Linked DNA regions of Xenopus tropicalis. The protein of the gene in region 2 purifies or fractionates together with the protein of the main gene of each other region. This does not show direct contact. Links are inferred from orthologs where the notes say so. Each region holds a gene or a part of one and is shown on either strand. Other genes may lie near its edges.

The links. The genes of interacting proteins can lie anywhere in the genome.
Region 1: the proteins of rheb (region 2) and rptor purify together in Homo sapiens (affinity purification with western blotting, with the first as the bait; 3 studies listed by BioGRID). This does not show direct contact. The link is inferred for Xenopus tropicalis from reciprocal best matches to the Homo sapiens genes RHEB and RPTOR.

The regions. Positions count from the first base shown.
Region 1 is NC_030686.2:26,937,906-26,941,564, reverse strand, and holds part of rptor (regulatory-associated protein of mTOR), read left to right. Parts: intron 1-2,264; coding exon 2,265-2,365; intron 2,366-2,992; coding exon 2,993-3,137; intron 3,138-3,659. UniProt on the Homo sapiens protein: Component of the mechanistic target of rapamycin complex 1 (mTORC1), an evolutionarily conserved central nutrient sensor that stimulates anabolic reactions and macromolecule biosynthesis to promote cellular biomass generation and growth.
Region 2 is NC_030682.2:14,449,375-14,453,133, reverse strand, and holds the start of rheb (GTP-binding protein Rheb), read left to right. Parts: upstream 1-1,574; 5' UTR 1,575-1,831; coding exon 1,832-1,883; intron 1,884-3,759. UniProt on the Homo sapiens protein: Small GTPase that acts as an allosteric activator of the canonical mTORC1 complex, an evolutionarily conserved central nutrient sensor that stimulates anabolic reactions and macromolecule biosynthesis to promote cellular biomass generation and growth.

The sequences.
Region 1 (3,659 bases), on a different chromosome or scaffold from region 2:
TCTTAGTACCTGGGGGTCTATTCTATCTGGCATTGCTGCCTTGTTCATATTCATTTTGAGTAAACCTTTATGTACCATATTTTTCATCAATGACTGATTAGATTGAGCCATCAGTGCACCTATAAGGTGGTTGTTGAAACTTTGATTACTCTATTGAGTACTCTGAAGAAAAGAACTGGTTAAGCACACTTGCCATTTCTGTATCCTTAATAAGCACATTATTTAATGGAGCTACACTCTCAAACTGCATCTTTTCACAAAATATACTTAAAAAACTTAGTCTCTGCCACAGTCTATTCTTTATTACCCAGAGTACACAGAGGAAATCCATGAAAGAAGGGGGAGCACATAAAACTCCTTTCAGTTTATCACTACAAGGAATTAAACCTTGGATTTTAGTTCAGCAAGCACCATGCTTTGTAATAGATAATATTCGACCAGTCAAGACCAGAGTACACATTTCTAGTAACATTTCTGCAAAAGTCATAAAAACATTTAAATATTTATTTGTATTCCAGATATAGTTAGCATTTTTATAATCTATACTTAATACAATGGATCAAAATCTCAAATTATAATCAAAGCTAAGAATGTAACGGACATAAAGCTGTTCTTGTGGGGATTGAAAATGAAGCAATAACGTTTTTCATTTATATTTACATAAAATATCACTTATATTAAACTAAATTTGAAATTTAATTTTTTGATAGAAAAATGTGACATGGAATAACATACAAGGAAGGCTTTCTTATACAGTAAAGCTAATTGGTCAAAGATCTGAATACTTTAAATAGTATAAGTAACATATATGTGTATTGTTAATATTCTGTTTACTTACAATTTCTATGTATTGAAGCCACCTCCCTTGACTTTTCGCACAGCATATACCTATAAGGGTGCTTTGTCTATTTTCACCTCATTTACCCAAATTTGCAGCCAAGGTGTATTAAGGTGTAATTATTACAGACTGGCTTATTCTATTTGTAAGAGCAATGTAAAGAAAAAGTAAGAAGCCTATAAACTTAGCTTTACATACAATATACTGATATGCCTGCTCATATCTAATGTGATTTTTAACTGAAAATACTCCTTATAATATGTAGTATTTTCACTGGTTGTGTGCCAAAACTACCAATGATTTCAGCCCATTCTTTGTCCCTTTCTTTATGTGACCAGATTCATACAGCGAAGGGTCTGCTGTTCACAAGTATAACAGGCTTACTAGCAACACAATTTGTTTTCCCATTAGACAGGTGGATTTGACAAGGAAATTACCCATAGCCACCTTTAACCTCTTCATGCTGAAGAATAGCTCAGAGACGGTTTTCCCTCTGGACTGGAGAAAGTGTGCACACATCAGCTGTTCAGCTAGGGCATGAAGCAAAGCAGTCAGGCTTGTAATGTCCTTACATCGTCCTCACAATCTTGCCGTTAATTAAATATGTTTAAACCTGAGCTCCTTTGTAGCAAATAAATATCGTGATCACATTGATTAGATGAAATGACCCATACACATTCTAATACTCAAGAGGCAGGCTCAGTGCTGAAGTTTAGTTAAGTCAGGAGTCTGGTACAATAAAAGCGCAATTTTCATAAAGCCTCAGATGCTGCCTGCTGATCTCCACAATACAATCTGAAGGCTGTTTGTGAGAAGGATTGCAGTTATCAGAATTCTAATGGGGCTAAATGGTCAATTTATGTATAAGCCATGTCTGGTTAGTCAGTATGTCAGTATATGGCTGGAAGAATGGCATAACAGGGAAGTATAACCTGCCTGAGGAAGATGTAATATTCATTTTATCGTATCAGGCCAGTTGGAAAAGGGCATTATCAGTGAGTTGCTGTAAGACATTGAGTTAAAGGAGCCATTCTTATATTGAAAACCAGGTTTATATTTGGGCATTTATTTTGCCTTATTTGAAATTTACAACATGTGCCATTTCAGATTATGTATGAGAGGGATGTTAAGCTCAGTTTGTTGGTTAGCTATCAAAATTAAAAAAAAAAAGCTAAAAAATAGAAAACCAGGGTAAAATATGTAACCATTCACAACATTCTGAAAAAATATCAGTGATAGTAAACATATAAGAGACAGCTAAGAATTGTGGGAAAAATTAAATAAAAGATTCTTTTTTTTTGTGGGGGGGGGTGGCTTGGTTAACCATGGTTCATTGAGATTTTGTTTTGAATGTCCCTAGTAATTCATTGTGCATTTTTTTAGCAGTTTGATTTAGTAATTAATATCATACTGTTCTCTTTCCTAGAATTCCTGGGCGATTAAATGATAGGAGGACACCACTGGGAGAGCTGAACTGGATCTTTACAGCAATCACAGATACTATAGCATGGAACGTTCTGCCTAGAGGTACAGTCATATCATACTGCTACACTATAGCTTAAATATATGTTACTATTATAGTGGGAGTAAAGAGATTTTATAACAAAATAGAGTTTTCCTGATATTGGTTACTAATTTGAACTATTTCCCACTCAGTGGATAATTAAGACCGTATATAAATAATGGGTGGATGATTGTGCATACATGCATATACTCATGGTAGGGAGAAGTTAGTTCTTTAAGTGTCAGTGGCGCAGACTGACTTATTCTAAAGTAAAGTATTATTTAGTGCTTCCATATTGCCTGAGTCCCTGACCCAGTAAAGCTTACAATTTAAGTTCTTCAGCAAATTCACACACACTAGGGTTAATGAGGAGCCTTTATGTGTGAGTTTCCAGAGAAAATCCATTCAAACAGTGGGAGAACATACAAACTCCTTCAAGTGGCAGGAATTAAAGCTAGGATTTCAGCAAGGTAGCAATGCTAACAGCAGTGCCAATTTGCTTTGTAAGAGAAATATACTGTTCAACCACTTAAAACCAGAGCACACATATCTAGTACTTTAGGTTCTGCAAAATATATATTTGTGTTCTAGATATAGTTTGTATTTTATTAATATATATATTTCAGCATTTATCATCTTTATAATTTCAGACCTATTTCAGAAGCTCTTTAGACAGGACCTATTAGTTGCCAGTCTCTTCCGGAACTTTCTTCTGGCCGAGAGGATCATGAGATCATACAATTGCAGCCCAGTGAGCAGCCCTCGTTTGCCACCCACCTACATGCATGCTATGTGGTAAGATGCTCTGTATACTTTTTCTGGAACAGCGTGTATTTATTGTCTTTATTTCATGCCATATGGTGCCTGACAGTAAAGCTATTTTTCATCTGGGTAAAAAATGCCTGGAACTGTCCCATAGCCTTTAGGAATACTGCCATGGGAAAACATGTTTGTTTCAAAACGCATCAGTTAATAAAGCTTCTCCGGCAGAATCCTGCATTGTAATCTGATTTTTAAAAGGGCAAACTGATGGGTTTTTTTTATATTTAGTTTTAAAATTTTACATGTAGATAGCCATGCCATATTCTTCATTTCCCAGGGTGGCACAGCCATGTGACTTGTGCTCTAATAAACTTCAACCACACTTTACTGCTGCACTGCAAGTTGGAGTGATATATCCCCCCTCCCTTTCCTTCCCCCAGTAGCCAATAAGCCTGAACAGATAGCAGCTCCCTGACACCTCTGCTAAAGCATTTAGCAACCTGAACTGATAGTGCCTCCATAGGCTAAAAGCACTGATAGTACTGTACTGAGAGG
Region 2 (3,759 bases):
CTTTATGTTTAGAGTAGGAGGGCTAAAAGGAGCCAGAGAGCCCGTCACAATGCAAGGCATGCAGTGAAATCTGTTCCCAGGCCTCCCGCTATATGCATAGCACTGCTGTAAAACAAAAAATAAAGGGCATTAACTCTGGGAATAGAAACTGGCGGCTAGAATGAGGCATAAAGGGTCATTGAGAAAGATAAAAAATGTTCTGTCTGGTACAAGGGGAGAGGGTAAAACAGAACATGGGGGGGCATTTCACTAATGGTACCTTTAACATTACTTAGAAACCTCTGGAATTTCTCTGGAATAAAAAGTGTTTATAAATGAGCCTCAGCTTAATGTGTCCCAAATATCCCTAGTGCTGCTCCCATTACTCCCCAACAGGATGTCCCTGTGCCCTTCTGGCCACACCTCGCTATACACAACAAAGCCCCTTGTCCTGCAGTCCCAGTATGTCAGTCTCCTGTAAGGTCTGTGAGAGCTGCCACGTTTTATTGTGTCGTTCCATGTCCTTTACTCCCCACTGCCAGCCAAAATGTCTCCAGTGCCGCTCACATACAAGCACATCCCCAAGCCTGCCCAAAGGGAAGTAGGGATACTTATTATGGGGACAAATGTACCTGGACCACTGCTACTATAGGCACCATCTCTCCCTACTATACCTGCTATCCCACAGCCCCAGTCCCTTCCCAGAGACTATTATCCCACTGCTACTATAGGCACCATCTCTCCCTACTATACCTGCTATCCCACAGCCCCAGTCCCTTCCCAGAGGCTATTATCCCTCTACTGCTACTATAGGCACCATCTCTCCCTACTATACCTGCTATCCCACAGCCCCAGTCCCTTCCCAGAGGCTATTATCCCCCCACTGCTACTATAGGCACCATCTCTCCCTACTATACCTGCTATCCCACAGCCCCAGTCCCTTCCCAGAGGCTATTATCCCCCCACTGCTACTATAGGCACCATCTCTCCCTACTATACCTGCTATCCCACAGCCCCAGTCCCTTCCCAGAGGCTATTATCCCCCCCACTGCTACTATAGGCACCATCTCTCCCTACTATACCTGCTATCCCACAGCCCCAGTCCCTTCCCAGAGGCTATTATCCCCCCACTGCTACTATAGGCACCATCTCTCCCTACTATACCTGCTATCCCACAGCCCCAGTCCCTTCCCAGAGGCTATTATCCCCACTGCTACTATAGGCACCATCTCTCCCTACTATACCTGCTATCCCACAGCCCCAGTCCCTTCTCAGCTCTCCCTCCTATACTACATACATACATACTCCTTTACCCTAAATTCCATCTCCCCTCTCTAATCCAAAGCTATACTTACAAAGGTTCCATAAAACTATCCCTATTACAGATTCTCATTTTCCCGCCCTTAGCTGACAGAGAGGCAGCTGCTTTATCCAATGAAATATCGTATACAGTTAAGTGGAGCGACGCTAACGTATCGGACGCGCTTATTGGATACAAACAAAGGATACGCCAACGTCACAAGACATAGCGCCCAATCGCAGCGCTTGTGTATGACACGTAGTTCTGCCCCCTGTGGCGGGAGGCGGGGAATGACGCAGCGAGAATAGTGAGAGGGAGGAGAGAGTTATAGAGCGGCGCGGAAGAATTGTTTTACACAGAGCTGCTGTACCGAGGCGGGGTGATCGGGCCACCGTGTGACGGAACTATAGCCGGGGCGGGAATAGACGCGATAGTAGCAGCCACACTCCCACACTAGAGTTGGAGGGAATCTGTGCGTCGTTGCGTGCTCGGCCCCGTCGGTGGATGCGGCGCTCTCGTCCCTGAAGGGAAGGAACGGTGGAGGCAGCAAAGATGCCGCAACCCAAATCACGTAAAATCGCCATCCTGGGGTACCGCTCCGTGGGTGAGTGTGACGGGCAGTGGGCGGGCTTCACCCTAGGGAGGGCGGGGCTTGGGCTAATGGCACATTTAGGGCGGGGAAGCCAGAGTGCACTTGTTCATGTCTGTCCGGCCGGGGCTCAGGGATGTGCCATTGCGGGCTTCATTGGAGCCACAACATCCCCGGGCTCGCCATTGCCCCTTCCGTGGGGTGGAGAATCCTGGGGCAACTAGTCATGGCAGGGAAGCCTCCCGTCACGGGCAGCCAATGGTTAATGAGCTTCCCTCCCTTGTTAGGGGCACCTTCTCTAAATGCAGCATACATAGGGTTAAAGCTTCCACCTTGAACTACAATTCCCGGCATCCCCCCCTGACCTGCTGCTGCTTTAGTTTAATGATAGGCAGCATCTCTAGTCCTGTAGTGTAAATATACTGCTGCCTCCCCAGCCTGTACGCCCCCTGCTGGCCTGCTTAAAGCTTCCACCTTGAACTACAATTCCCGGCATCCCCCCCTGACCTGCTGCTGCTTTAGCTTAATGATAGGCAGCATCTCTAGTCCTGTAGTGTAAATATACTGCTGCCTGTACGCCCCCTGCTGGCCTGCCCGCACAGGCTTCTGGGATTTGTAGTTCCTTAGCCCCAGGAGAGGCAAAATGAGGTCGTCTTAACCTTTTTTTTTTCCTAGAGAACCCAGTCTTGTGACCCACCATTTGGCTGAGAGTTGACTGTAATTACTAATGTAGGCGGATAGGGCACTTTAATAAGGAGGCTAAACAGCATTGCGCGTCCAGATGTGCGGAATCCTGCGCGTTATAGGGATGCGTGTGTTCTGCCATAATGGAAAGTAATACACTTGGCTGTGTGCACACTTTCCCCCGCCCCGGGGCAGCCATTACAGGGGGTGGAAATGAAAGGCCAGGAGCCATTGAAACACAATGGGTGATATTGTTTAACCAATACTCTCTGTATTACAGCAGTTCCTGAAGTGGGGGGGGGCTGCTCCCTACTGGGGAATGTGGGGCAGGGGGTTAAGACTGGGGGAGAATGGCCATTTGTATCGCTGGATACACCTAGGGGAGTAGCAAGACTTGGGCTGAATATGTCTTTGCTGCCCTAGATATCCTTGTTAGGGATACGCCGATATCTTCCTTTATCCACTAATAAAGGACACACACTGCTGTATTAGGCAGTAGAAAATGGAGATTAGAGAGGGCAGGTAGTTATTGGTTATCAAGATATTGTCCATCTGCCGTTACTCAGGCTCCTATGTGTGCCTCCGTTGCACTTATATACAGTGTCCGTTTATATTGTACATGTGAGCAGCTTCAGTCGGTGCAGAGGAGCATTGGGAAGAGCCAGTAATAATGGCAGCGGGGCTCTATAGAATAAATGTGGGCCGGTATATTTGTAAAGAGGAGTTCCAGCCCTGGGTCTCTGCTCAGAGAGGGGATGTGCTGATGTTACACATTGACACCCCCTAAGGCAGGGATCCCCAACCTTTATTACCCATGAGCCATATTCAAATGTAAAAAGACTTGGGGAGCAATACGATCGTAATACATGTTCCTGGGGGTCCAAATAAGGGCTGTAATTGGTTATTTGGTAGCCCCTATATGGACTGGAAGCCTACGGGATATTCTGTTTGCCAGTACATCTGGGTTTTATTCAACCAAAACTTGCCCCCAAGTCAGGAATTCAAAAATAAGCAGCTGTTTTAAGGCCACTGGGAGCAACACCCAATGGGTTGGGGAGCAACATGTTCCCCTGAGCCACTGGTTGGGGATCACTGATCTAAGTAGACTTACACCTGCACAGACCCATTAGTTCTGTGGGAGTCACACACTTTGCTGTTTGGCTGTACCTGGCAACGGAGCTTCACCTAATCTAGTGGATCCATATAA